Regions from separate parts of the Mus musculus genome. Here regions 2, 3, 4, 5 and 6 are each reported to be linked to region 1. Evidence: microRNA targets listed by miRTarBase, many of them from high-throughput screens and not tested one by one. Region 1 holds a microRNA gene; each other region holds the end of a gene's coding sequence. Distances are between the middles of the regions.
What was found. Region 1 holds the annotated microRNA mmu-miR-466f-3p (CAUACACACACACAUACACAC, at 3,347-3,367, shown strand). A microRNA usually pairs through its seed, bases 2 to 8, with sites in the 3' UTR of a target mRNA and lowers its output. Matches are read on the target gene's strand: a 7mer-m8 pairs with bases 2 to 8, a 7mer-A1 pairs with bases 2 to 7 and ends in A, and an 8mer does both.

Region 1 (5,089 bases):
CACCCATGTATGTGAATGTGTGTTTACGTGTGTGTGCATGTGCATGTGTGTATATGAATATATGTATACATACACACACACATACACACTCATGTAACACACACACACACACACACACGAATGGCACTCATTTATCCATTTGAATGATATGTGACGTAGAACTATAGAGATTATGTAGTACTGGGCCAGTGAGTGCTCTCACTTTCTAGTTGAAAATGCTTGCCAGAATCAGGAGAATCAGGAGTTCAAATTCATGCTTACATTCATGAGGATTTAGAGATCAAACTGTGAATCATGTTTTGCCCCCCATGTTTGTGCATGTGCGTATAGTTGTGTGTGCATGTATATGTGTGTATATGAATATACATATACATACACACCCATATATACACGCATTCATATGAACACATCAACACACACGCAGGAATGGTATTCATCGATTTATTTTATTGATATGTGATTTAGAGCTTTAGAAATTATGTAGTACTGGGCCAATGAAACTTTTTACTCACCAGATATAAACGATTGGTATAGTCAGAAAGATCTGGAGTTCAAATTCATGCTTAACTTCATAATGAGTTAGAGATCAGCCTGGTATTCCTGGGATGTACCCCGTGTATGTGCATGGGTGTATAGTTTTGTGTGCATTTGCCTGTTTGTATATGAATATACATATCCATACATACAATCATATACAGGCACACAAAGACACACAGACATGAATGGCACTCAGTGATTCATTTGAATGATATGTCACCTCAAGTTTTGGAGGTTATGCAGTACTTGGCCTGAGAGGGGTCTCAGTCAGCAGGTGATAATGTTTACCAGAGTCAGTAGGCCCAGGGCCTGGCAAACGCAGAAGTGGATGCTCACAGTCAGCTATTGGATGGATCACAGAGCCCACATTGGAGGAGCTAGAGAAAGTACCCAAGGAGCTGAGGGGATCTGCAACCCTATAGGTGGAACAACAATATGAACTAACCAGTACGCCCCGGAGCTTGTATCTCTAGCTGCATATGTATCAGAAGATGGCCTAGTCGGCCATCAGTGGAAAGAGAGGCCCATTGGTCGTGCAAACTTTATATGCCTCAGTACAGGGGAACGCCAGGTCCAAGAAGTGGGAGTGGGTGGGTAGGGGAGTTGGGGGGGGAAGGGTATGGGGGACTTTTGGGATAACACTGGAAATGTAAATGAAGAAAATACCTAATAATAAAAGAGTTCAATTTTATCCTTAACTTCACGATGAGTTAGAGAGGAGCCTGAGATTTTTGTGATGATCCCGTGATGTATGTGTGTATATTAATATACATATACATAAACTCATACATACACATACATGTGACACCCACATATGAATGGCACTCATCGATCCATTGGAATTATTTGTGACTTAGAGCTTTAGAGATTATGTAGTACTTGGCCACTGAAAGTTTTGATTCACCAGGTAAAAACCCTTGCCAGAGTCATCAGTATCTGGAGTTCAAATTCATGTTTAACTTCATGAAGAATTTGGGATCAGCCTGGATTCATGTGATGTCTCCCCTTGAATGTGCATATGTGTATACATAAGTGTGTTCATGTGTATATGTGTATATGAATATACATATACATACACACAAACATACATGCATGCATGGACACACACACACATGAATGGCACTCATTGATCCATTTGTATGATATATAATTTAGAGCTTTAAATATTATGTAGTACTGGGTCAGTAATAGTCTCACTCATAAGGTAAAAACACTTGCCAGAGTCAGGTGAAGAGAGAGTTCAAATACAAAATTTACTTCATGAAGAGATAGAAATCAGACTGGGATGTTTCTTATGTATGTGCATGTGTGCATATATGTATGTGTGCATGTTAATATATGCATATAAATATACACATATAAACTAACCAACACAACATGCACACACACAGAGACACACACAAATACACACACACACACACAAACTCAAAATTGATACTCATCTATCCATTTGAATGATATGTAACTTAATGTTTTAGAGCTATGTATAAATGGGTCAAGGAGAAGTCTCACTCACTAGGTGAAACACTTGCCAGAGTCAGGAGGATCAGGAGTTCAAATTCATGCTTAATTTCACAACGATTTAGAGATCAGTATGCAATTGATGTGATGCACACCAAGAATGTGCATGTGTTAGAGTTGTGTGCATATTCACTTCTCTATATGAATATGCATATACACACATGCACACACAGTAATGCCACTCATATATCCTTTGAAATGATATGTGCCATAGAGCTTTAGCGCTTATGCGGTAGTGATCCAGAGCTATGTCTCAGTTAGGAGGTGAAACGCTTGCCAGAGTCTGGAGGATCTGGAGTTCAAATTCATGTTTAACTTCATGATGAGTTAGAGTTCATCATGCGATTCATGTGATGCCCAACAAGAATGTGCATGTGTGTATAGCTGTGTGCATATTCACTTCTCTATATGAATATGCACATACACGCAAGCACACACAGGAATGGCACTCATATATCCTTTTGAATGGTATGTGACTTAGAACTTTAGAGCTTATGCAGTACTGATCAAGAGCTATGTCTCAGTTAGGAGGTTAAGTACTCTTGCCAGAGTCAGGAGGATGAGGAGTTCAAATTCATATTAAATTCATGATGAGGTAGCAATCAGTCTGGGATTCATGTGATGTCCCCCGTTTATGTGCATGTGTGCAGAAGTGTATGCATGTACATGTGTTTATGTGAATATACATATACATACACACATATACACACACATGCAAACATACATGTAGGAATGGTACTCATCGATGCATTTTAATGATATGTGACTTAGACCTTTGGAGATTATGTATGACAGGGCCAGTGTCAATTCTCACACACCTGGTGAAAACCCTTGTTAGAGTCAGGAGGTATAGGAGTTGAAAATCATGCTTAACTTCATGAGGAGTAAGAGATCATCCTGGATTCATGTGATGCCCCCTATATATGTGCATGTGTGTATACTTGTGTGTGCATGTATATGTGTCTATATGAATATACATATACATACACACCCATATACACACGCATGCACGGAAACACAAAAACATAAACATAAACACAGGAATGGCACTCATTGATCCATTTGAATGATATGTGACTTAGAGTCTTATAGATTATGCAGTAGTGTGTCAATGAACGGTCTCACTCACCAGGTGAAAGTTGTTGACAGAGTCAGGAGGATCAGGAGTTCATATTCATGCTCAATTTCAGTTAGTGATCATCCAGACATTCATGTTATGCCCCTCATGTATGTGCATGTGTGTTTACGTGTGTGTGCATGTGCATGTGTGTATATGAATATATGTATACATACACACACACATACACACGCACGCAACACACACACACACACACACACACGACACTCATTTATTCATTTGAATGATATGTGACTTAGAGTTTTAGAGATTATGTAGTACTGGGCCAGTGAGTGCTCTCACTCACAAGGTGGAAATCTTGCCAGAGTCAGGAGGATCAGGAGTCGAAATTCATTCTCAACTTCATGTTGAGTCCGGGATCAGCTTCTGATTCATGTGATGCCCCCAGTGTATGTGCCTGTGTGTATATGTATGTGTGCATGTGCATGTGTGTATATGAGTATACATATACATACGCACATACCCATACAAGCATGCACACAAACCCAAAACTGCCACTCATCGATCTATTTGAATGATATGTGTCTTAGAGTCTTAGAGATTCTGTATGACTGGGCCAGGGAGAGGATTCACTCACCAAGTAAAGACCCTTGCCAGAGTCAAGATAATCAGGAGTTCAAGGTCATGGTAAAGGCATGATGAGTTAGAGGTCATCCTGGCATTCATGTGATTGCCCCTATGTATGTGTGTATGTGTTGATGTGTGTGTACATGTACATGTGTGAATATGATATACATACATGCACACATAAGACACATATGAGCACATAGACACACAGGAATGGCACTCACTCATCAATCTATGTGACTGAGAGCTTTGGAGATTATGTGTGACTAGGTCAGGGAGAGTTATCACCCATCATATTAAAAATGCTTGTTAGAATCAGGAGGTCAGGAGGTCAAATTCATGCTTTATTTCATGATGACTTAGAAATCTGCCTGGGATTCATGTGATGCCCCCATGTATGTGTACATGCGTGTACCTGTGTGTGGATTGTGTATATGAATATACATATCTACACACGCATAGACATGTACACAGACACACAAACATGAATGCAACTCATCGATCCATTTGAATGACGTGTGACTAAGAGTTTTAAGATTCTGCAGTACTGAATAGGGAGAGGTCTCACTCAGCAGGTGAAATCCCTTGCCAGAGTCAGGTGGTCCTGGAGTACAAATTCATGTTTAACTTCATGATGAGTTAGAGTTCAGCATGCGACTCATGTGATGTCCATCAAGAATGTGCATGTGTGTATAGTTGTGTGCATATTCACTTCTCTATATGAATATGCATATACACGCATGCACGCACAGGAATGCCACTCATATATCCTTTTGAATGGTATGTGACTTAGAGCTTTAGAGCTTATGCAGTACTGGGCCAGAGCTATGGCTCAGTTAGGAGGTGAGTACTCTTGCCAGAGTCAGGAGGATGAGGAGTTCAAAATCATATTTAATTCATGATGAGTAGAGATCAGCATGCGATTCATGTGATGCCCTCCAAGAATGTGCATGTGTGTATAGCTGTGTGCATATTCACTTCTCTACATGAATATGCACATAGCTGTATGCACACATACTCACAGGAATGGCCAGAACTATGTCTCAGTTAGGAGGTGAATATTGTTGCCAGAGGGAGGAGAATATGGAGTTCAAATTCATGTTTAACTTCATGATGAGTTAGAGAACAGCCTGGAATTTCTGTGATTGTCCCCGTGTATGTGTATATGTGTATAGGTACGTGTGCATGTAAATGTGGGTATATGAACATGCATATATATATATATATATATATGTGTATATATATATATATATATACATACATACATACACATATACACACACATATGGACACATACATGTGCACACAAACACACATGGTAGTCAT
Region 2 (5,091 bases), 160 Mb from region 1:
CCTGCCACACTGGGACAGTAGTGAGGTGCAACCTCCACATGCCGGGGCACTCGAATGGTCCCGAGGAGGCAGCAGACTGAACCCACAGAGGAGGAGGATGTCAGGTCAAACAGAGTAAGGTCACTTCAGATAGTGCTGGGGAACAAATCAGGGCACCATTTTGTTAGAACCTGAAAGAATGAGCTATTGACAGTGGCTAGGGATGTAGAATGAACTAGAATAGCAAGTCCCACCCTGGCCTCTGACCCCTGACCCCCGACCCCAGGACTGCTCTAATATGTGTCACACTTTGAGCACACTTTATCTGGGAGCACCTCTCAGAGTTGGGTTTGAGCACTCCCATTTTAAAATCAAATCATAATGTGTCTAGGATTTCACAAACCCAGGAAGCAACGTCGCTAGGTATTAAAGCTAGACATCCGCCCATGAGCACTGTCATATTTACGTAGAATAAGCACGTGATAAGTCCCCCTCGCTGCTGTTGGCCTCACGCTGGCTGCTTTATGTTTTTCTCCAGGGACCAAAGCGGATGTCGGATGCTCAGGTGCAAACGGACCCGGTCTCCATCGGACCAGTTGGAAAATCCAAGTAAACAAAATCACCCAGTTCCCACTGGGTTCTCCTCCCACTCCATCTACTGTCCAGACCCACACTGTGTATATATTTTTCTTCTTCTTCTTCTGGTCAGCCAATGAAATTCTGCCTACAACTTCAACCTGAATTGTTGTAGATCGAGGTGTATTATTTACGTCTCTGGTCCAGTCTTTCCTGGCATTTAAGTGTAAAAATGGCTTAGCAGGTTGACCAGTTGATCCAAGGGAGCTGGTGAGTGCCAGGTGGGGGAGGAAGTAGGTAGATAAAGGCATTTGTGTTAAGTTATGAAAAAATGGCAGGTATCCAGTAAGATGCAGAAGAAAAGTGCTTATGAGACAAAGAATATCTGGATTTGTAGCCACTCTTGCCACATCCTCTAAGCCTGAAGAGGGGAAGGGAAGACTGGTTTATTTCATTTCACACTTGGGGGAAGGAGGACTCAGGGCAGGCATCTACGCTGGGCGTCTGCCAACTTTTGGAACAGGATGTGTGGGCTGTAAAGAAGAATGGGCAAGAATTGGTTTTCAAATAGGGTCCTTGGAAGTTATCAGTGAATGGGGAAGTGATTTGCTGGAGAGGGCTTGCTAGGATTTGGGGAAACAATTACTTCTGGGGCACAGGGACAAGGGCATGAATTCCCAACTTCAAAAGGGAAACAGCAAAATGAAATAAAGGTGCAGGTTCATTTTGCAACACAAGGGGGCGCCAGGATCTCTGCTTTTTCCCTTTGCATCCGGTACCCCTAACAAAGATTTGTTTCTGCACTATTTCATTATTAATGTTTCTCAGATGGCTGAGGGACTTGCTTCATCTGTTCGGTCTGACGCTTATCTCACGCCTGTCTGTAATGTCCTAATGTTTTCATAATGTGCTCTGATAAAAACCCTCCCCTAACCCAGTTAATAAAAATTGACAGATTATGCGAATACTTGAGGTGGTTTTTTTTTTTTAATTCTTGTACAGAGAACTGAATTGGACTGTGAATCCATTAAGATGGAATTGCCAAGTACCATATGATTGACTGATAGTCATCTGTATTGTACCTTTCTTTTCCCAATTTAATAAAAAAATATTACATTTTAGAAAAGCTTTTGATTCTAAACTTCAAGTGCAGCTCGCTGACAACGCTCTCTACAAGGGCTGCGTCTTTGTAAGCAGCTGGAAGACAGTGTACACTATGAATGCCCACACACGTGTCCAGATATACTCTCACACACGACTCTGTGTTCGTGAACATTCATACTGCAAACTCATATAGGCAGGAATACATTGGTGTGCACATATGATCAGTTCACAGCCTCTGCCCTAGCAAACCAGGTTTGACCTCCAGTCTTTCATAAGCCAATTAAAAGAGCCAAATTAATATTAAAAAACAGATTCTTCCATGTGGCCACACTGGGAAGAGGGAGAAAGATTCAAGAGTCTCTCCTGCCTCCCACAGGCTGCCTTCAAGGTCCTTCAAGTCGAAAACAGGACTGCATAGCCAAGCAGTTCAGCCCAGGGGCGGTTCCCTGCTCACCTCTACCTCAGCTCCAAGTCTCTCCTAGGAGCAGTGATGCTCTCTCCAGTAAACTCCTCCTCCAGCCCTCTCCTCCCTCCCTCTCCATCCCCCACCCCCACCCCAGGGCTTCAGCCTTTTCCTTCTCCTCCTGGGGTCTCCTGGGGAAATTTTAACTTTCTGAGATTGGTTGTTTCCATAGTCTATAGTCAAAGAGGATCGCGGGTGTCCCTTTAGAATATATTCATTCTTGCCAGACTAGCAAATTTGCACACACACACACACACACACACACTGGCAGGTTTTACACACACATGCACGCTCATGCACACACACACACACACACACACACACACACACGCACGCAGAACATGAGACTGTCTCACAGGGGTCAGAAATAAACATTGCCATCTATCTTGTCCTAGCGTGAATGAGAGCACAGGAACCACACCTAGGACAGAACAGACTGGAAAACTGGTAAATGTATCCAGAGAGCAGCCATGTCTGTGAGGCCCCCAGATATGGAGGAAGTAAGGCAGTGTGGCCTGGGGCCTGGGGCCTGCCAGCACACTGACTGGATTCTGGGTTTCAAATACAGATCAGCAGTGGTTTCCTTTAAGCTAAACTTGTTTCCTGGATCCTCAGGACCTGATTTGGAAATCACTGTCTGTTCCTTGCCGGGTTCAGAGTCCCGTACCATGCTAGAAGGTTTTGCTGGAAAGATTGGGGTAGGGTGCTAAAAGCACCTTGGGAAAACTGGAAGAGGGGGAGAAGTGGCCACACTACCCAGTCCTTCTGAGTTGACACCAATGAGACCAGCCAGCTGTCAGTTCCTTTGTCTGCAGATCCCTGGGGGTGACGCCTGCTGTGACCTTTTGCCAGCCTCTGGGCTAGCTCAGCCTGTAGAGGAAGTTGGCCAGTTTCACCTTACAGGGCACCGGCGCCTCAGGCTGAGATGAGAGACATTAACAGGCAGGATTGGGAGGCGCAGAAGCAGTGGGGAGTGACTGACTCTGGCCACCAGGCAATAGCAACCTCCAGTTTCTAAATTGGGATGGGAGAGGGGTTGTCTGAGAGAAGCTCAGCAAAGCCCCTCCCGGGTGTTTATTCCTGGTCCCTCCCTTCTCCTAGGCTGAAGAAGAGGGCACTCTTAATGAAATTGTGGTTTGCTTTTGTTTTTATGAAGGCCAGGAAATTTAAGCCACAAACTCAGTGATTTATTGCTGGGACCGTAAACCCAGCTGTAGTTTAAGAAGCAAGTTTTGTGCTTCCTGTGAAGGTTGCGTTTTCCGTTGCAATCCTTTCTCTGATGCAGAGTTCACTAACTGCCCCAGCAAGGCACTCCCTAAATCGCACAGAAAGTTCACAGGACAAAGAGGGGGCAAGAAACTGAGAGCTCGGCCCACAGAGCCCAACCAAGCTCTGGCAGGTGGAGTGAGGAGTGAGAAGCAAACCTGACAGGCACCGAAACAACCCAGAATCCTAGCCCCAAAGAAAAACCAAGTAAAGACGTGCGTGCGGGAGGAGAGGGACAAAGGTGCCCGTTGTCACCATGAGTCGGTTAATGATTCGCTGATTTGTTTGTAGGTGCTCAGGGAAGTGTCTCCTCTCTCTTGCCAAGAAGACGTGCCTTTCCCAAGGATGGAGCTAGTGAGATGAGATGCCCGGCATTGTGCGTGCAAGTTACACACACACACATGCAAGTGCACACACACACACACACACACACACACACACACACACACGTGCATGCATGTTCTCAGTGATGCCTCCCAGTTCCTGCTGACAGAAATTGTTTGCCTAATATCCATAAAAGAGTTCACTCAAAGGAGCAGTTGTTCCCAGCAGCCCGAGGCCACTCTTGGATTCATCCTGGGGAGGGGGGCGGGGGGGGGGGAAGGAGCCACAAACCTAAAGAGCTGCCAAAAAATAGGAGGGGAAAAAGAAAGCCAGAGAGAGACTGTTTTGTTTGTAGCTCATTAAACACAGGTCTCTCTCTCTCTCTCTCTCTCTCTCTCTCTGTTTCTCTCTGTTTCTGTTTCTCCCTCCCTCCCCCTCTTCTCTCTCTCTCTCTCTCTCTCTCTCTCTCAATCCCTACCCCCCAAGCACCATGCAAACAGTCAAACAATCCAGATATAGTCCAGACACACACACACACCCAGAGCAGTGGGGGTCTCATTAGATTTTAAAAGTCCAGAACGTACCCCTCTGGCTCCCCCCAAAGTCCCAGAAGAAGGCTAGGTGTCCACATCCAGGACTTGCAGGTGTGGTCTCTTCTGTCCCAGAGCCCCAGCCAGGTCCTGGAGCAATAAACTGGAGCTTAGGGTGTAGCTCAGAGCTACAGTACTGGCCCAGCACAAACGGGGCCTTGTGTTCCATTTCCAGCGGTACAAGGGTGGAGGGGCAGCAGCGTGGTAATGAACACAAATGGAAGAGAAAATCCTTCCCTGTCCTGCTTGTGAGGAAGGAGAGGGAAAGGGCAGCAGTTACCCACTTTCCCACGGTGCAAACCCCAAGATTAGGGCTGGGTTGCTGACGGGGCTCAGCTTCAACCACTCTCGGCGTTCTCTTTAGAGCCCTTAAGTAAGCAGTTTGGCACAGTGTGCAGAGTCGGGTTTGTCCCTGGTCAGGACTGTGTTTACTCTGTGGATTGTGGAGCAGCGTGGGCCCCTGAAAGACTGCCTGTTAGCAACAAGGGGGGAAAGGACAGCAAGCAACGTCCAGACATTGATTCTTCAGTCTGTAGTGGAGGCAGAGACACTGGGCCAGGGGTCGATTCTCCAGAGGTTAGACTGTTTTTTTGTTTTTTTTTTTGGCTTCTGTGTAGCCACCCATAAAGCTACCTCCCGCTCCTCTGCACCCTGGGGCCTCTCACTTGCCAGGCGGAAGCCAACCACATGATTTAACAGAAACCAGGATACAGGTCACGCTGCCTGACAGGATCGCACACACAGCCTTCTTGATGCGTTTATCTAAGTTTCAGCTGTGTGCCCTCTCCC
Region 3 (5,091 bases), not on the chromosome of region 1:
GCAGGAACGGTGACATGTGTGTAGAATCCCAGTCCTGGGAGATGACTCAGGCACTCTCTGGCTTTCACTCATGTATGCACACACGCACGCGCACACACACATGGAGGGGCAGGGATGTGCTCATGTCCCATGGTGCACGTGTGTAAGTCAGATGGAGTTCTCTCTGTCCACCATGTGGGTTCCAGAGACTCAAGTCTGGTCAAGTTTGGTGGCAAGAGCCTGCCTTTACCTACTGAGCCATCTTGTCAGCCACTCCCTCCCACCCCAAAGGACGGCTTCTGGGAGAAGGTGGCAGTAGTCACAGTGGCATTCTGTAAGCTGACTGTCCCAACCACTGACATGACACACTCTCAGTAGGCCACGAGGCTGTCACTGTCTCATCCCCACAGGGAGGTGACTCACCACCAACCTGAGTGGCATATCCAGAGACTGGGCTCATCCCACCCCTACACTCCTACGGGCGAGTTACCACCCAAGCTCTGCTACCCAGAAGGTCAAGTCTATAAACCTGAGGTCCCTTCCTTGGGACCTATATAAGAGTTTAATCCCCTGCTTTTCTCTGCTGTTCATGTCTCTCACACTGTGTGTCTGGTTCAAACCAGGCTAGCAGTGGAAGTAAGGCTCCTCACCAATGGAGGTGAGAGCTGGGAGCACTGGGCACTAACATTTCCCAGACATTCCTATGGCCTCATGCGCTCAGGTCTGAAGGAGGCCCCTACCCTCCCTAAGGAGTCTTATTCAACTGACCTAGCAAGAGCATCCTAGGCTGGCCGTAAGTCCACAGGACGTTCACCAGCCCACCCCTGTGGCTTCCGGTGTAAAAGCTAAGTGAGTCTTCTTTCTCCACCTGGGTGGCATTTCCAGCAGTGGGCCGGAAGCACTTCTTTCTCCCTGTTGCTGGAGTCCCTGGCAGCCTGCCTGTCCCAGGATGAAGGCTAGGCTGAGGCAGAAAGAGGCAACTGTGCAATGGTCAGGAGGGGAGAAGAGGACACAGCTTCAAGGTCAAGTTCCAAGAGACCTAGACAATGTAAGAGGCAGAGGTGTCCCTAGCCACCCTTGTACTACCCATTCTTCACCCAGAGACACAATACTAGATCCCAATGCCCTTGCTGGAAAACCCTCAAACACAGGGCAGCATATTTTGAGGCCTGGGCACAGCTCACAGGCGGCTCGGAGGAAGTCTGTCTGAGGAAGCTGATCACCCTGGCCCAGGAGCCTTCCAGCAGGTGAACCAGGGTCTGCACCTAGAGGTGCATTCAGGGCTTCCCGGGGCTTGGCGCTGCAGAGCAGACTCTTGCCAAGGAGGCTGAGAGGTGTGCTGCTGTCCTGGTCACAATGCAGGTTGTGACCCAGGAAAATATCTAAGGGAAAACTGAGGGCCAGTGACAGGAGTCAGGCTGGAAGGGGAGTTTCCAGGATCTTGCCCCATGATGAGTCCCGAGCCTCTGAGTCAGGTGCACCCAGGATCAGTTAACTGAACTCAACAACCATGGCTTCAGGGCTACTTTAGGAGCCAGGCTCAGTCTGAAGGACCTGGGGACCTAGCCTCTCCTTTGCCCTGGGGGCTCCTGCTGAGGTAACTAACCCTCAGCAGATCAGTGCAGGGTACAGAGGATGGCTGAGCTGAAGGCTCCTGTCTGAGAGTGGGCAGCAGTCTGGGAAAGCAGTCAAGAGGAGATGGTTTAGCCAGGCAGACAGCAGATCTGAGTTCAAGGCTAGCCAGAGTTTTGGTTTTTCGAAACAGGGTTTCTCTGTGTAGCCCTGGCTGTCCTGGAACTCACTCTGTAGACCAGGCTGGCCTCGAACTCAGAAATCCACCTGCTTCTGCCTCCCTAGTGCTGGGATTAAAGGCGTGGGCCATCACTGCTCGGCTAGCTTTTTTTTTTTTTTAAGGCTAGCCAGTTTTATAGATCAAGTTCCTGGTCAGTCAGGACTACACAGAGAATACCCCACCTCAAAAACTAACTAATGAAGGAGTGAACGAATAAAGAGGATGGGGCTGGAGAGGTGGCTCAGCGGTTAAGAGCACTGGCTGCTCTGCCAGAGGTCCTGAGTTCAATTCCCAGCAACCATATGGTGGCTCACAACCATCTGTAATAAGATCTGAAGCCCTCTTCTGGTGTGTCTGAAGACAGCTATTGAGTACTCACATGGAATAGATGAATATTAAAAAAAAAAAAAAAAGAATAAGGAGGATGATTTGAGCAGAGCTGTAGAGACACAAAGGCTTGCAGGTAAGTCCAGGGCCAGGTGGCCCTCCAGCTGTGGTTGGACTTAGAGGTAAACTAGGGTTGGATAGACTCTCCAAGGCTGAGACTATGAAAGCTAGAATTTGGTTATCCCAAGGGACAGTAAGTAGATTGTTTTTTTTCCAGACTTGGCCAGGGTCCCTTCTGCAGGACATCTAGCCAGTGAGACCCATATGGAAGACATAACCTGGGCCTTCCTGGCTATACGGCCCGTGTGTCCCACAACTGAGCAAGCTCTGTCCCACAGTAATGCTGTCCCTTGACCTTTACCTGTTGGCCAGAAGCCCTTCCCCAAGGACAGAGAGCCAGGATTGCTCAGGCCAGGCCAGGTAGCAGGGTGCCCAGATCATCCACTTACAACCCTTTGCAGGTCCTGGTACTGAAGGCACCCACTCTATGTTGCACATGCGTGGGGCCTCACCTCAGTCCTTTAGGCTAGGCATGTTAGAGCTGAGAGCAAGTCCTGGAGGGAGGGTAAGCCCTGGAACAGGGTTGGTGGTCCTAGGGAGCCGGAACAGCTCTGAGGGCACACGACCTCTAGGACCTCCAGTTGCCATTACACTGAGAACAGACAGCCTGGGAAGCCAACCCCAGGAACTCAAGTTAGGTTCTCATAGGAATGTGGGAAGGAGCCCAGGACATGCCTTTGTGAAGAGTCCTGTGGTGTTGTTCTAGAGGTCAGAAACGCCATAGTACCTACTGAGGGCAGAGAGAAAAGGACAGAAGTCAGGAAGGCACGTGTGGAGCAGCGGGCCTGGGCCACTGCTGAAGGACAGCCCTTGTGGGAACAAGACAATAAGCACAGTGGGGAAAATATTTATTATCCTTTGGGTGCCCTCGGGTATGACATATGACAGTAGGACACTGGTGAGTCTCGCGATGGCTGCTTCCACGCAGCAGCAGCAGCTGACTGGCAGCCTCACACCAAGATGATCTGAGCACCGAGCACTGAAACTCCCTTGAAGCTAGCCACATACCGAGAATGGACACCAGGCCAAGGTGACACATGTGGCAAGTCCACAGCCAGGCTCTTAGCCCATGCACAGGCTCCTCTATGATCCGCTTTGACCCCAGCTCCAACAAGGACTGGAAGGTCACGGAAGCAGGGACCAATCCTGCTGTGTTCTATCCCTCAGGATGATGCCTAACCCCAGATGACAGCACACCAGCACACCAGGAACTCCACACACACACACACACACACACACACACACACACACACACACACACACACACACACACACACACACACACGGTCGTGCTGACACACACGTGGCCTGTGCAGCACATGATTATTGATTATCATCACCTCCTTTGTTCCTGGGCCAGCCTGGTCCCTCCATCAGCCTTAGGGAAGTATAGGGAGAGGAGGGCAGGGCTGGGCTTTCTGGTTAATTTAGCTCAACCACAGCTTCTGGCTAAGCTCTGGAGCACCAGGGCCTGGAGACTTGCGCCAGGGATGGGACAACCCACGCTCCCGTAGGTCAGCCCAGGCTATAGGCAGTGCCCAAAGCTTCCGACGCCCTCAACTTTTACCATTTAGTCTCAAAACCCAGGAAGGACTATGGAGAGGAAAGACTCATGTTGACAACAAAGAGCCAGGACAGAGCTTGCGCTGAGCAGTGATGAAGTGGAGACTTCCCTCTCAGAAGACAGGAATGCCTCCCAGCTGAGCAGGGCCAGCCTACTCACCCCCCTCAGCCACCCAGGAGGCCCCTGCCCCACCCCGCCCCCATCTCTTTCTAAACACAAGCCACGAGGGCAGTGGCTGACCATATAAGGCAGCCTCTGGCCTCCCTGCCTGCTTGCCTGTGCTGTTCATTTGGAGGCCTGCTAGCCTGGGGTTTTAGTGGCAAAAGTCAGGTAGCCAGTGTGGCCCACAGTCTCCTTCATGGGTGTGCCACTACGGAAGGGGCTGGCATCAGAGCCCATGTTGGTCTCTAAGTTGTTGGCCCCCAGGTCGGGCAAGGGCAGACTGACAGTGCGCACATTGTAGACCTGTGGCAGTACCTCCAGGGTGCTAAGCTCTGTGAAGCCATGGGCTGCCAGCGCCTGGCATGTCCGCTGCACCTGCTCAATGCACGGAGAGAAGGAGCAGAAACGCCCACCTGCAGGAGCAAGACAGGGGTCAGAGGGTAGTGTAGTGGCATCCACAACCCACCCTGGACCTGAGGCTGGCTCAAGACTGACTGCAGACTGTAAGCCCTCAGACCAAGTCGCAATGCAAGGGCCTCGGGAAGCTATACATTTTTGCCCTACCTGCTGGGCCACCCTTGGGCAGAAGTCCGGGTCAGTAGCGAGGCCCAAGACTGAGATGCCCAGGTCTCCCTGCCAGTAGGCATCATCATCCTGCCTTGTAGGAGGCAGTGGAGGGCTGGGGGGTGGGGGGGTCAGGGCTGTCAGAGCCAGTCCCAAGAATAGCTCTAACAATAGGGCAACATGGGGCGGTGTGTGGGTTGCTGCTGTCACAGAAAATTAGAGGCTGTCGTTGGCTCTTGGGAACAGGAGGAGCCTACAGCAAGCACATTTGGAGCTCCTCCCTGCTGCCTCCCACGGGGGCAGCTTACAGGCTTTACTCAGCCTGCCCCCAAACTATGAAAGTGCCCATGAGCAAGCCACGGCAGAGATGCAGTGTGTACACAAGTCCCTAGGCCTGGGACCCAGAGCGCTCCCTGACACAGGGATGAGACAGGATAGAGTCCGCTGTCACTAAACAGCAAATCACACCATATACTCCTTGCCAGAGGCCACTAGAGATAGAGCGTGTTACAAAACACCAAGCCTACAAAAAAAAACAAAACAAAACAAAACAGAAAAACACCTCACACTGAAGGACCCAGAG
Region 4 (5,091 bases), not on the chromosome of region 1:
TAGCCCTGGCTGTCCTGGAACTCACTCTGTAGACCAGGCTGGCCTCAAACTCAGAAATCTGCCTGCCTCTGCCTCCCCGGTGCTGGGATTAAAGGCGTGTGCCACCACAGTCCGACTTGGTAACAGTAATATTAAAAGTTTGGTGTTTTGAGATCTTTAAATTTCTAATGTTTGTGACGTTTGTGTCAGAGAGAGAGCGAGAGCATGACATGGCACAGACAACTTTTAAGAGTTCAAGACTGGGTTCTCTCCTTCTACATCCGCTTGGGTATGCTTGGGAATTGAACTCAGGTGACAGTCTGGTGACAGGTACCTTTACTCTCTGAACTTCCTCCCCCCACTACCCTGTCCTGTTTTAAATCTTTTTCTTTTTGGTTTTTTTTTTTTTTTTTTTTTTTTTTTTGGGTTTTTCGAGACAGGGTTTCTCTGTGTAGCCCTGGCTGTCCTGGCACTCACTTTGTAGACCAGGCTGGCCTCGAACTCAGAAATCTGCCTGCCTCTGCCTCCCGAGTGCTGGGATTAAAGGCGTGCGCCACCACGCCTGGCTTAAATCTTTTTCTTAAAAAGATTTATTATTACATGTAAGTATATTGAAGCTTTAGACACATCAGAAGAGGGCATCAGGGTCAAGACAGGGCTTCTCTGTATAGCCCTGGTTGTCCTGGAACTCACTTTGTAGACCAGGCTAGGCTGGCCTTGAACTCAGAAATCCCCCTGCCTCTGCCTCCCAAGTGCTGGGATTAAAGGCATGCGCCACCACGCCCGGCTTTCCATTTTGAATCTTAACTGTGCTCAGGAAATAGCAAAACTACACATTACTGTCATTAAGAACTATGATTTTTGAGCCAGGCATGGTGGCATATGCCTGTGATCACTTGAGAAATAGGGAGGAGGTGAGGAGTTCGAGGCCACTCTCAGCTTGCTATTGAATTAGGGACCAGCCTGGGCTACGTGAGACCTTGTCTCAAAGCACCACCTCTCCTTAAAACAAAATGCATTCCACAGTTCCCGCTGTAAGACAAAGTACAAGGGAAACAGGTCAACTGTGTTATCTTTTCAGAGCTTCGTTGTAGCTTCTTACTTCCTGGGCAGGGACGGGTGGGGCCGCATCTTTCCAGCACTTCAGCCAGCAAAGGCAATGAATAAAACGCATTTTGAAGGGCAAACCCTGTCTACCAGCTCTCCCCTGCCACTCAATCTAACCATAATTACCTGGCTTCGGGTGACACGCTCTAAAGTCTGTGTTACAACCCCGATCCCTGACACTTGTGTGACAGGGGCTGGCAGGACAGCAACTTCCAGGCCAGGTTGTGGAGGTCATAGAATCTTTAAATATTGACACTGGGAAGGCCTTTGAGCTAAGCCCAGGACTCTGAAAGACCTGAGGGAAGCTCCAGGAGTTGCTACCTGTGATGGTTTATATATGCTTATCCCAGGGAGTGGCACTATTAGAAGGTGTGTCCCTGTTGGAGTAGGTGTCAGGGTGTGGGCTTTAAGACCCTCATTCTACCTGCCTGGAAGTCAGAGTTCTGCTAGCAGCCTTCAGATGACGATACAGAACTCTCAGCTCCTGCCTGCCTGGATGCTGCCATGTTCCTGCTTTGATGATAATGGACTGAACCTCTGAATCTGTCAGCCAGCCCCAATCAAATGTTATCATTTATAAGACTTGCGGTGGTCATGGTGTCTGTTCACAGCAGTAAAATCCTAATTAAAACACCATCTGTCACAAGTTTTGCTCTCCCCGGGATGAAAGCTATCGCAGTGGCCGGTGTTGAGACTTGGAAGCATGGTTTACAAGCAGTGAGACAAAGTGGGTGAGAGTGGAGACTACCACATCAGGATCTGGCCAAGGGACCAGGGTCCTGCTCACCAGGGTGAGCAGAGATCACCTCACAGAACTGCATGGTCAACCAGAGGAGAGGTGTCTGATGGCTTGACCCAGGCTGTAACCCAAGGCCAGTTTCTGGCAGGGAAGCAAGTGTCCCAAACCCTCAGAACTCTTCTATAAATAACATGATGTCTTGGGGGAAGCCTCATCTTTCACTGTGTAGACCTAGGCCCCGCACCACCTAAAGAGCGCTCTCCTCACCCGGAGGCCAGAGGCTACACTGTGTACCTTGAGCTCTGAAGGCTTGATATACCACAGGACAGGTCCTAATGGCCCCAGCCACAGCTGCCTGAGGCTGATGGCTTCTTTGTGATGTACAGTCCCTGGTAAGTCAGCGATGAGAAACCCCAAGAGCAAAGAGGCAGACAGAGGGTATCTATATCACTTTGTCCTTTTCTACTTTATTACTTCAAATTAACAACCACAATAAAGCTCAAAAAAGTCCAATATTTACACAGGAAAAAAGTACAAAATTCCCCCCAAAGTTCTTCAGTAATTTTTTTTTCAGTTTTTTAAATTACAAAGTAATAAAAAGTTTTGCTCTTTAATTAAAAAAAAGAAAGAAAGGGGAAAAAAAGAGGTAAATAAATTAGGAAATACACACACTGAGAAAACAAACAAAAATAATAATAATAATAATAATAAAAAAACCAACAAAACAGGTGTTAACCAGGAAGGGTAAATTCAACACTTAGCCCTGACCCAGGGTCCTACTCAGAAGTCAGGCCTGGGAAGAGGGGTGACCACAGGTGACTCTCAGGACCAGGGAAGTAACCGGTATCTCAGAGCCGATGCCATCTGGGAGCAGACTCCAAGAACTTGCCTAAGATCAGGAATGGAAGTTGGGGGGGGAGGGGTGCCACACACTGGCATCTGGGGACAGGTGGTGGCAAGGACTCTATGCCCTGAGGGATGTGGAAGTCATTGTCCACCCCACCTTGACTTTAGGAGGAGGGGAACAGAAACTTGGCCAGGCAGGCGTGGCAGGCCACCTGCAGCTCTGAAAAATACAAGTCAGCAGTCTCTCAGTCAGTCTCTCAGTCAGTCTCTCAGTCTCTCTCTCTCTCTCAGTCTCTCTCTCTCTCTCTCTCTCTCTCTCTCTCTCTCTCTCATGCATACACACACACACTCACAGTCACACAAGGCATCATGGCCTCCATCTCACCGCACCCTCAGGGTCTCTGTAGAGAGGTGACAGGTGTGTGTGGGGGAGACCAGGATGCTCAGGGAAGGGGATTCTGGGAAAGCCCCATACAACACTGGTCACTGTCATCACCCAAGGGCTGATGGCGTGTGTGTCATCCAAGGCTCCATGAAATCTCTTGGGACTTGTCTCTGACTGGCCAAACCGCTCCCTGACACAAGCTCTTCAGGCACCTCCGATGGCGGCCCGGCACGTGGTGGCCGGTGGCGAGAACAGGTGGCTGGCATGTGACCCAGTGTCCTTAGAGGAGTGTTGGCAGCCTTCAGGTCGGGAGCAGTGGGCAAGGCAAGGGAACAAGAATCCTCAGTGCTAACGAGGTCTTGTCTTTTTGCCATTGGCAAAATAAATCAAAGAAACAAAATCCATTGTCGACTTTGTGCTGGGTTGTGGGTTTTGTGGTTTGTTTGTTTTTCTCTTTTTTGTTCATGTGAACTGTTCTTTCTTTCTGTCCTTTCTCTTATTTGTATTTAATTTTTTTTTTTTTAAAGAAAATGCAGTGAAGACACTAGGAGGGAAGAAAAGACAACGGTCAGGTGCCTGGCTGCCTCGGTTTACCCAGCCAATGCGCTCCTCTGCTCTGGTGGGCTGAGCGGCCATCCCAGCCCCATGTCTATCTGAACTGATTAGCCATTTGTTGGGAGAATTTCTGCAGTGTGAAGTCTGCTTAAGAAACCACGGTGTGAAGCTGCACGTCTCAATGGGTGGGACACTGCCTGCTAATATCCATGTTCTGCAGGGAGCTTGGGTCCCCAGCCAATACTACCAGAAGAGCCTGTGGCCCCTTTCCCAAACCAGGCTTCTAGGTACTGCCCCCCAAGCCACAGACAGCCGCAGGCAGTCCACCCCGAACTAGCTTTGGCCAGAGGGTCTTTCCTGTGTATAAACACATGAAGGCCCTTCTACACTCTGGTTCCTTTTTGGCTCTGCACATATCATCTTATATAACAGCCAAAAGGAGGAGGTAGGCTAAAGCCCTGGAAACCCACATGTGGCCAGGAGCCTGGTCTTTCCTAGGAATCAAGGGGACAGAAGACCCAAGGACAGAAAAAGGGTTTCCCCGAAGTGTCCCTGTGTACCGATTCAGGACTGCTTGTGAGAAGTGATAGCTTGGATGGCAGATTTTAAAATCTAAAGCTTCCTTGAAGAGATTAGAAGGGGAGGTTCCTGCTTCTGCGTCACGTTCCCCTGCCCTCCAGGGCCCTCAGTAGACACCAGTACTCACCTAAGCAAACACTGGTCTGTGGTCGCTCTCCTCATTTCCCAAGATGGTCAAATGGCACGCTTGTCTTCAAGAGGGGGACAGAGAAATATGGGGGAGTCTCAAGGCAGGTCCTTAAGCAGGTGGCCACAATGATTCCCCAAGTCTCATACACCCCCCCCCCCAATGGAGCTCCATCCCTCACAGCAGGCTGCTCAGTCTGAGGGCAGCTGTGTGATCTCAGGTCTGAGGCTGCCCCTGGCTCTAGAGCCGAAACACCCCCGCTTGGAGGCCAAGGCTGGCTCAATTCCAGGTCTGAGTCCAAGGAAGTTCGTCTCCCACAGGCAGGATCGGGTAGATCTACCTTTGCCAAGCCCCTTCCTCTACATTCTGAGTCCGAATATGGCCATTAAGTGGGATGACCTGACAAGACCTCTCCCTCCTCCCGCTTCATCCCTTGCTGTTGTCAGTGCTGATGGGAACTGCCGAGAGTCGCCCACCCAGACCGCAGTGAGTGCTAGCGCTTACTGGGCTGTTATTTCTTTGAGCCTCAGTTTCTCCCTTCGCTTTGCTCAACACAAGAGGGCTAATTAGCTTCAGGGTGATCAGAGGCAGGGGAGGAAAGGTGCCACAGGGTCAGACCAACACACCAAGAATATCTAGGTCCACTGTGCCCCCGAGAGGCCTGGAAGAGTTGACTCACCTGTGAGGCTGCAAGCCGGGAGACCTCTTGCCGCCCAGTGAGGTCTGAGGAGGAGACATTGGCAGGGGCACCTCTGTGGAGTCTCATGCTCACCT
Region 5 (5,091 bases), not on the chromosome of region 1:
TCCTAAACCTGGAGCATAGAGCCTTGAGTGAAATTAAAATATTTACCTATCTGACCCGGTCATGCCCGAAAAGTTTCTAGGTTTTTCTTGGCTCTACACCAAAAACAAAGACTTTAATTTTCATATTATATGTAATCATTGTCCCCTTGAAAACGTTTGAGTTCTTTATATAGACAGTCTGCTAGAGCAAGGGCAAGCTAGCCAAAGTGGATTACTTCTCACTGACCAGAGGTCTCTGTGTGGGTGGAAGGAAAGGGAGGTGGGCTCAATGGATTTAAATATCTGATTAGCTGAGTCCTGGATTAATAATTGGATATTAGAGCGAGCAAGTGGATGATGCATCATGTGGGTGAGTTTTATCTCCCACTCCATCATCAGAGGATTTGTTTTGTCTCTTAGGTCCTAATGTTGTTCTGTTTTCTTTTAGGGATCCCAGAGAACAGGCCCCAAAGAATAAAGCCCCAGGTGTGTACAGACTGCTCAGCCTGCAAGCAGACATTGCTTTGTCGCAGTGAGAGGACAAAAATTGTCATTTCCTAATAGTATTATTCCTGATGTGTGTACCCACACAAGTAGAAATGGGGTGTTGTATCACTACCAGTATCAGTTTTTATTGGTTTTCTGTAGCTTGTTTTGTCTCCCCATATTGGCAAGAGCCTGCATACAATAATTAGCAAATTAACTACTTGTGTAAGTTCTTAATTCGAAGCTGTCTTCTATTGGGATGCAGCTTTAATTGGTGAGATACTGTGTCTAAGTAAAATACGATTTCCTTGAATGCGTAGTGTAAAGAAATGAAAGCTTTCTTTCTGCTCTGGTATAGTTACTTGTCGTTTTTGCTTTCTCTTCCCAGATTTTCCAGAAAATGAACCCCCAGTCAAGAAGCAGTTTACAAAGAGTGCATACAGAGGCTTTGAGAGTGTGAAGCAGACGATGCAGGCACCTCTGCATCCGTCCTGGGAAGCGAGCAGGAGGCGGAAGGAGCAGCAGTCCAAAATCGCTGTGTTTCAGGGGAAAAAAATTACATTTGATGATTGATTTGATACTTGCTGCCTCTTTGCAAGCGTTCTGTCAAAATTTTTGGTTTTGTTTTTAACTAACATGTTATTTAAACTTGCATTTTAAATAAGTCTCTTTCAAAGAGTTATAAAATATATTGCTTGTTTTTCTTTTTTTATGTGAATTTAGGGAATATTTACATAATCTTTTCACAGATCTCTAAATTTATTTCATAAGAATGCTTGCCCCAAATTATTTCTTACATAAAGTAATTTAGATATTACGGAATTTTAGGTTTTCTCATTCATGATTACAAAATATATTTCGCTAGTTAAGCTTTCCCTTTTGCCTTCAAAATAAGGCAAACAGGGCTTAGGAGATGGCTCACTTCCTGGGGCCCGATGGCCTGAGTTTGACCCCTGTGATTCCCTTGGTATGAGGGCAGAACTAATTCACAAAGTCGTTCTCTGATTGCACATACACTGTGGCACATGCCTATGTACATACAAATATGTTCACATATAATAAATGTCATATAAAAAATGTTAGGACATATTTAAAATAATAGTGAGAAAAGAAAGAAATTAGGACTAAAAAATATTTTTATAAGCAAAACAGAAATGGCAATTTTCATTGTGGATATAGAAATAGTATATAAATAAATATTAATTTGTGATAGTTGCAGTTACTTGTGACTTATCTTTGCAGTGTTTGAGCAACTTGCTTATGTGTAGCAACACCTAAAAGTTAAGTTCTAAGTACCCCTGCAATGAGTATTTCCATTCATTGAAGAATGGATCAATAGAGCCCTAGTTTTTCTGTCCATGGACCAAGTCCAGGATATAGTGTTCATGGTACAGAAAAGTTATGCATGGTGTCTAGTCACTTAGGCAAATATTGGAGTACAACACTGGGAATTGAACCTAGGGCCTCATGCATTCTAGGTCTTATACATGCTCTACCACTGAGGACCTTGCTGTGTGGCTCAAACAGGGCTGGGTTTTTACTCTCACAGTACCAAGATGCAGGCATTTTAACTTGTGTTGAAATGTAGAAGAGGAGGGATTGAAGTGGCTAAATAGGAGTTCTTGGACTCCTAAAGAACCATGTACTCCATACAGTAAAGGAAAAGAGGTTTGTAAAAGATGCTTGCCTGTTTCATACAGTGCAGTGACTTGTGTTCAAAGGAAAAGAAAGAGGTTTGTAAAAGATCCTCGCCTGTTTCATACAGTACAGTGACCTTAAAGGAAAAGAGAGAGGTTTGTAAAAGATCCTTGCCTGTTTGCCTTTTATTGCTGTGGAAGACAAGAAAGATGGTTAGTTAATTAAACAGTGCTAACTGAATTCTATGTGGCCTGCATATATATTCTCTTAGAACAAGGTAACGCCTTCCACTCTGCCTTCAAGCGCCTAGTTAGCAAGTGTACGTTCTGTTTTACAAACTTAGGAATGTCAGTAACTAGAACAGTGGGTTCAGTTTATGGCGGAGATGTGGAGTTTTCTTGAATCTTCATTCCAAGCAATTCCCTGTAAACCCCCCAACCCCCCCAAAAAAAAGTAAAGAAGAGAGTGTGTGTGTGTGTGTGTGTGTGTGTGTGTGTACACCTAAGCAAGTTGGAATGCTCTCTACAGTTTTGTAAGTTTGCCTAAGAGAGTTCCTTGGGCCAGGAGTCCACCTAAAAGTTGGAGGCAGACTTTTACATCTACTGCTATAGTTTATTACACGGAGACTTTACAATGGCAATGAACTTGCTGCTGTGCCTCCAGATAGAACAGCTGGTAGGGCATTTGAGTTTCTGGTAACTTTGCCCTTAATGTCTGGAGAGGTTCAGATTCATGAAAGGCACCACAGCAATCGGATATAGTCTAGACATACTAACTCTCTAGCAATAAAGATTATGTTTTATCAGACTAAAATACAACTCAAAGGTTGAAAAGTCCTGGGTTTGTGCCTTTTGATTCTCTTACTATAGTATTGTCCTAGCAAGTCTTCCTGTTATATAGGATCACAAACTGCCTGGGCCTGTGAGTGCCTACACTGTCCCACCTGCTACCTGGTGATTTTTGTCTCTGTCTTGATATATTTAAGGATTGACTTTGCAGCAAATCCTTAAAGGGGCTCTGCAAGTCTTTCTAAATCCTTCCTCCCTGATATTTAGCATCACACGTTCTATTGACGTTCTATCTTACCTCAAACTTTAGTAGGAAGACATACCTGTATTCTGTATTATCTGCCTAAGAGTGCTCTCAGGGTTAGCTGACGCCTCTGAACCAGTCAGCTAGTTAGAGCTTGGTTGCTTCTTTTTCTTTAATCTTCAGACATGGAGTCTCAAAACTGAAAGAAGAAAGTGTCTAAGCTCCTGGAACCAACTTTCTCTGAACTCAGGAGTTAATCAGGCTTGCAGTAATCCAAGGAGAGAGAGAGAGAGAGAGAGAGAGAGAGAGAGAGAGAGAGAGTGTGTGTGTGTGTGTGTGTGTGTGTGTGTGTGTGTGTGTGTGTGTGTGTGTGTGTGTGTGTCAGAAACTACAGATTACTGATGAAACAGTGAGGGTTGTCGGCTTTAATTTCCCCATCCCCTACTCTAGATCTATGGTAGCCTTGAAAGCTATCAGGCTATTACCACAATGAAGACCAGCCTAGCAACTGTTGGAAATACGTTTGCAACATCTGTAGGGAACATTGATTGTCTGAAATGTGTGGTTAGTTCAGTGGAAGCCGCCCACTTGGCAAGGCTGCCTTTATTTGGTGTCAGTCCAAGCTTGCTTAGCTTGATAGCATTTTCCCTTAAGCTGCCTTTTGAGAAACACGGGCAGTTTGACATCATGGCCGCCATAAGCAGCAGAGAGCTGCTAAGGTAGGAAGTACACTAATCACAAAGCTTAGAGGGAAAGCTGAAGAAGATGCTGTCTGCTCACTGGGGCTTTGGAAATTTCTGACCTTTTCTAGAAGTCAGATAATGCACGAGTACAGACTGACTATCACTGCTCAGGACCTAGTTGAAGGAGCCTCATCATTCACCAGGGGTGTAAGTGATGAGAGCATGTCTGTTTAAGGGAATTTGTCAAATTAGGGCAGTGTGAAGCTATGTAGACTGCAAACGGCATTACACATGGAAAGAACTGAACTTCACAAAAGTAATTCAGAAACTATCACTAGCTGTAGACAGGCATAGGGTACTGATTTTATAAACACTTCATTATTTAATGTGTCTAATTTTCAACAAATATATACAAAATGTGACCCAGTGTACAAGGGACCAGCAATAAATAGAAACTGAGGAAGAACAAATGTTGAACTTATTTCAACAAAGACTCCGAGTAAGCTAAATTAAATATTTTCCAATCTGCAGGGCACTGTTTAAAAGAGACAAGAAAGTATACTGCCTGACCAAAAGGGGAGGAAGAGGAATTAGAAGTGGTATGATGCACATGACTGTATTGTAGTGTCAAGACAGATGTAGTAGAATTGAAAATGAGGTTAACCTACGTCAAGAAACAAAATTATAAAGAACCAAAGTCTGAAGTTAGGAAGTGCAATTACCAAGTTAAAAAGTTGAAAAGGGATCTTAATGTCAACTAAGATGATGCTGTTCGAAGAGTGGGAAATAAAAGAACGAGCAGCTTTGCGCAGAGGTTACGACCACTTGCTGTGGGATTCCGAAGACCAGAGTTCAAATTCCAGCACCCATGAAGTCTGGGTATCCTGCAAAAGACCAATAATTAGCTCCAAGGGATTTGACGCCCTCCTCTGATCTCTAAATGCACACAGTCACTTGCACACATTCATATATTATATATACATTTAAAAAATTAAAAACCTAGCACACTTGAAGACCTATGGAGTACCACTTAATGTACCAATTTAGAATAAATGGGATTTTTTTATATAACCAGTTTACAGTCAGCTAACTGTATTTCCCAAAGACTGGGAAAATGTGTTCTCATTAAAACTTAAGCATGGATGTTCATTGTGCAAATAATAGCTACACACTCAAAATACCCAAACAAAATGTGATCTATACTAGAAATGAGGTATATATATATAGCATGGGTAAAAACTATAGCATGGGTAAAACTTGAGAACATATTAAA
Region 6 (5,000 bases), not on the chromosome of region 1:
AATCTTTGAGATAGCCATATTTTGAGATGACTGGAGAGCTGTTTGGTACAAGCTTACACAAAAATCAAATTTAAACTAAGACTAGGAGAGCAATTTTGTGGGGCTGGATGAGAAAGGCACATGAGATAACAGGAGTCAGGGAAAGCCAAGAAATACACACTTCATCCAATACACAAAGGGAATGGAGAGCTGGCTGCTGTTGAAGAGTCTGGGAGACAAGGGTGCTGATGGGACACTTTGTAAAGATATATGGTTGCATCTGAAAGATGACTCTTAAAAAGAGACTAGATCTCCTGTGGGTACCACTCACAGATCCCTATCAATTACTGTAGTAGACCTGAGCCTACTTAACCATAATCATTATCTTGCGGGACGGGATACGGAATTCCTGCTGCAGGTTTGGTTTGGTTTTAACAGGATATAAGCTCAAACTGGCTTTTAGCCTACCAAGGGTGTGAATCTTTCAATCTGCCAGAAGCTGAGATTACAGGTGTGCCAGTAGTGGGTTTGCATGTGCATTAACCCTAAAGGCTCATGCTTGCTTAGTCCCCACTTGATTGGAAAATACTTCTAGCACCATGCTTGCCTGTGTGCAGTAGTTAACTCTGGGTAAAATGGATTAGCCTTCAAATTGTAAACAATTGTTAGTAGATGCTACTGAGTTTCTCTGGTTGTGGTATCTTAAGTAGAGCCAATATGGCCAGGTTAGTTTCCCCGTTTGTCTGATACAGGAAAGTGCCCAGGGCAGAAAAGCCAATCTAGAGTCCCCAGGTACCAGTGCTGGCCTCAAAATCAACCCCACAGCACTTCCTCCAACAAGGTCACATCTTCTAATAGAGCCACTTCCCATGGGCCAAGCATATTCAAAACACCACATATGGTTTCATAGATGTGAAAGAACAACATGGCCAAAGTAACTCTTATAAAGGTAGACATGTAGTGGGAGCTGGCTTATAATTTCAGACAGTCAGTCTATTATCAACATGAAGGGAAGCGTGGCTGAGTCTAGGCAGATGTGGTGCTGGAGAAGCTGAGAGACCTACATCTTGACCCAAAGGCAGCCAAGAGGAGACGCCCCTCTGAAGGCAGCCAGGAGGGGACTAGCATTCACAAACTGGATGGAATCTGAGCATAGGAACCCTCAAAGCCTACACCCACTTCCTCCAACAAAGCCACATCTACACCTACAAGGCCACACTTTCTAATAGTTCTATTCCCTATGGACAAACAGTAAAACACATGAATTTATATGGGGACCAAACCTATTTAATCCACCACAAAAACCTAGCCATGAATACATATATGTTATAATGCATAACTTTCAAAGTAGTGGGGTAGGGTGGAAGGAATAGGAAGAAGAAAAAGAGGTAATTTTCCCAAATGGAAAGAAAAATATTTTAGTAGACAAAATAATTGCCTTAAATGTCTCAGTTGGGACATGTGAAGAGTGAATGGGTCTTGGTTTAATTCTATCATTACATCATAATGAAAATACTTGTGCAAGTATCCTTCCATACATTTGTAACCATAGCCATTGGGAGGCCAGACTGGGCTCTAGAGTGATTGTAGAACTACCTTAGAAATCAACTCCTCATCTCAAAATAACAAAGCAAACAAAATAAGATGAATAAATCTATTTTAATAGTTTTTCTGATATAAAGAGAACAGGCTTATTTTTAACAATGAAAATATATATGCTAAAAGTTACCAATATATGTACTCCCAATATTTCCATCCAAAGAACAATGGAGGGAAAAGTTACTTTCAACCCATTACCATCCTTTTAGCATGTAAAGTTCTCCAAGTTCTCCCACCTACACATATAGTTCAAAGACAGTTGTTCTTTGATAATTACATCAGAATAGAATTTTTAAAATGCACAATTCAAGCCGGGCATGGTGGCGCACGCCTTTAATCCCAGCACTTGGGAGGCAGAGGCAGGTGAATTTCTGAGTTCAAGGCCAGCCTGGTCTACAGAGTGAGTTCCAGGACAGCCAGGGATACACAGAAAAACCCTGTCTCAAAAAACCAAAAAAAAATTAAAAATTAAAAAAAATGCACAATTCATAATGTCCATAAAACTGTTGTGCATGATATGGCAGCACTTTTGTAGCAATACAAAGAGTTGAAAATACTGTCATTACAAATGCTTCCTGTCTCTCTCATGTTGACAAAGATATGAGTCCAGTTCCATTAAATAATTGAGTCAATATCATAAATGTAAGACATATCACCCATCTGGTTAATTAAACATGGAAAGTATAAATGTGAAAGTAAGAATATAAAAATATAAGAATAAGAATAAGAATAATAATAAGAATATGAAGAAAGGCACATTCAAACACAATTGGAGAAAATGTAAACTGACAGCTTGACTGATCTATTAATAATAAAAATGCGAAGATATGGGCACAGGGGAACAGCAATGGCTTGTGCTGTAAGATCGAGAATTGACAAATGGGACCTAATGAAACTCCAAAGTTTCTGCAAGGCAAAAGACACCGTCAATAAGACAAAAAGACCACCAACAGATTGGGAAAGGATCTTTACCTATCCTAAATCAGATAGGGGACTAATATCCAACATATATAAAGAACTCAAGAAGGTGGACTTCAGAAAATCAAATAACCCCATTAATAAATGGGGCTCAGAACTGAACAAAGAATTCTCACCTGAGGAATACTGAATGGCAGAGAAGCACCTGAAAAAATGTTCAACATCCTTAATCATCAGGGAAATGCAAATCAAAACAACCCTGAGATTCCACCTCACACCAGTCAGAATGGCTAAGATCAAAAATTCAGGTGACAGCAGATGCTGGCGAGGATGTGGAGAAAGAGGAACACTCCTCCATTGTTGGTGGGATTGCAGGCTTGTACAACCACTCTGGAAATCAGTCTGGCGGTTCCTCAGAAAATTGGACATAGTACTACCAGAGGATCCAGCAATACCTCTCCTGGGCATATATCCAGAAGATGCCCCAACTGGTAAGAAGGACACATGCTCCACTATGTGCATAGCAGCCTTATTTATAATAGCCAGAAGCTGAAAAGAACCCAGATGCCCCTCAACAGAGGAATGGATACAGAAAATGTGGTAAATCTACACAATGGAGTACTACTCAGCTATTAAAAAGAATGAATTTATGAAATTCCTAGCCAAATGGATGGACCTGGAGGGCATCATCCTGAGTGAGGTAACATATTCACAAAGGAACTCACACAATATGTACTCACTGATAAGTGGATATTAGCCCAAAACCTAGGATACCCAAGATATAAGATACAATTTCCTAAACACATGAAACTCAAGAAAAATTAAGACTGAAGTGTGGACACTATGCCCCTCCTTAGAAGTGGGAACAAAACAACCTTGGAAGGAGTTACAAAGACAAAGTTTGGAGCTGAGATGAAAGGATGGACCATGTAGAGACTGCCATATCCAGGGATCCACCCCATAATCAGCATCCAAACGCTGACACCATTGCATACACTAGCAAGATTTTATCGAAAGGACCCAGATGTAGCTGTCTCTTGTGAGACTATGCCGGGGCCTAGCAAACGCAGAAGTGGATGCTCACAGTCAGCTAATGGATGGATCACAGGGCTCCCAATGGAGGAGCTAGAGAAAGTACCCAAGGAGCTAAAGGGATCTGCAACCCTATAGGTGGAACAACATTATGAACTAACGAGTACCCGGAGCTCTTGACTCTAGCTGCATATGTATCAAAAGATGGCCTAGTTGGCCATCACTGGAAAGAGAGGCCCATTGGACACGCAAACTTTATATGCCCCAGTACAGGGGAACGCCAGGGCCAAAAAGGGGGAGTGGGTGGGTAGGGGAGTGGGGATGGGTGGGTATGGGGGACTTTTGGTATAGCATTGGAAATGTAAATGAGCTAAATACCTAATAAAAATGGGAAAAAAATAATAATAAAAATGCATTCCAACTGACAGGACCATTACACTCAAAGAAATTATCTCACAGGTGCACTCAAATAATGCAGAGATTCACCACAACAAATATTCTACATGGTTTTGTTTAATACCACACACAACACAAAATCCAAGGGCCATGATTAATTAAATTACAATGTAATCATACAGGAGAATTCTATGTAGCCATTAAAAAGAATGAGGTAGATTTACTTATGCTGATATAAAAATATCTCCAATGCTCACTTTATAAGCTTTTATAAATCCAAAACTCCAGTGTGTTTTTTACAAGGAGATGTCCTGAAAAGCAAATGTGTGCATATATACACATTTGTAAATAAACATGTAATTGGACACACATACCATAGTCATGTATACATAGGAATTTTTTTGTAAGAACTCACATGAAATTCTTTAGTGATGATTGTTCCTCCTGCAGTTATTTCTTGAGGAAACTCAGTTTTCATCATACTTTATTGCACAACTTGATATTTCACCATAACCATGTGCTTTCTTTGTAATAATTAAATCAGTTCTTCCTAAAATTAACAGGTAGCAGCAGAGATTCCAAACTTCCAATGATAGAATTTAAATGCAATTTCATTAGAACATTTGTGCTTTTTAATAGCTTTGGAAGAGCTAATTTCCAAGTAGTCCTTCCATTGTCGAATTTTAAAGAAAGCAAAGCAGTAATTATGATGTCTCTTGACTTCTTTTTTCTTGGTTCTAGATTCCAATGGCCGACAAAGTAAGGCAGTCTGTGCCATTGACTTCGCCTTGTGATACTGGAAATGCCTCCACCTTAGTCACAGTATCATAGAGTGGATTGCTCTTCTCTGTATAGCTAGCATAAGGCTGCATTTCATCCTTGAAGAAAGCTCAAAGTTAAAATCCATTCAAAAGAGCTAGACATCATTACCAAAATTACCCAAGTTTCTACCACATTTAGCATCTACTAATAATGTTTAAAACTGTTTATCTGCCTCAGAAGATCAAGGCTTTGTTCTAATAATCTATCACAAACATTTGATGGTTATTTATATTTTGTGTGAAATGGTTGTTGGG

Region 2: miRTarBase lists Bcas1 as a target of mmu-miR-466f-3p. Seed matches in the 3' UTR shown: 8mer at 654-661.
Region 3: miRTarBase lists Trmt61a as a target of mmu-miR-466f-3p. The part of its 3' UTR that is shown has no 7-base or 8-base seed match.
Region 4: the mRNA of Csnk1e is a reported target of mmu-miR-466f-3p. Seed matches in the 3' UTR shown: 7mer-m8 at 3,007-3,013 and 7mer-m8 at 2,488-2,494.
Region 5: miRTarBase lists Srfbp1 as a target of mmu-miR-466f-3p. The part of its 3' UTR that is shown has no 7-base or 8-base seed match.
Region 6: miRTarBase lists Cd200r1 as a target of mmu-miR-466f-3p. Seed matches in the 3' UTR shown: 8mer at 4,258-4,265.

The regions. Positions count from the first base shown.
Region 1 is chr2:10,468,661-10,473,749 of GRCm38, forward strand. It overlaps Mir466f-3 (microRNA 466f-3), which reads left to right and starts at 3,293; the gene lies at 3,293-3,386. The region is part of intron 10 of Sfmbt2 (Scm-like with four mbt domains 2); the gene reads left to right. It overlaps Mir466f-2 (microRNA 466f-2), which reads left to right and starts at 15; the gene lies at 15-108. Mir669l (microRNA 669l) reads left to right here and starts at 311; the gene lies at 311-408. It also overlaps Mir669d-2, Mir297a-2 and Mir466o.
Region 2 is chr2:170,343,575-170,348,665 of GRCm38, reverse strand. Bcas1 (breast carcinoma amplified sequence 1) reads left to right here. Exons shown (of 13, transcript NM_029815.2): 13 at 518-1,675. The coding sequence ends at 592. Among named protein-coding and RNA genes, the nearest start is that of Gm39999, 8.5 kb to the right of the region's middle.
Region 3 is chr12:111,681,861-111,686,951 of GRCm38, reverse strand. It overlaps Trmt61a (tRNA methyltransferase 61A), which reads right to left. Exons shown (of 4, transcript NM_001099793.1): 4 at 3,050-4,357. The coding sequence ends at 4,083. Among named protein-coding and RNA genes, the nearest start is that of Trmt61a, 6.3 kb to the right of the region's middle.
Region 4 is chr15:79,415,588-79,420,678 of GRCm38, forward strand. Csnk1e (casein kinase 1, epsilon) reads right to left here. Exons shown (of 11, transcript NM_013767.6): 9 at 4,997-5,091; 10 at 4,318-4,381; 11 at 2,265-3,600. The coding sequence ends at 4,349. Among named protein-coding and RNA genes, the nearest start is that of Gm16059, 8.3 kb to the right of the region's middle.
Region 5 is chr18:52,489,591-52,494,681 of GRCm38, forward strand. Srfbp1 (serum response factor binding protein 1) reads left to right here. Exons shown (of 8, transcript NM_026040.4): 7 at 428-465; 8 at 854-2,343. The coding sequence ends at 1,038. Among named protein-coding and RNA genes, the nearest start is that of Srfbp1, 26 kb to the left of the region's middle.
Region 6 is chr16:44,794,002-44,799,001 of GRCm38, reverse strand. It overlaps Cd200r1 (CD200 receptor 1), which reads right to left. Exons shown (of 7, transcript NM_021325.3): 7 at 4,025-4,802. The coding sequence ends at 4,662. Among named protein-coding and RNA genes, the nearest start is that of Cd200r4, 24 kb to the left of the region's middle.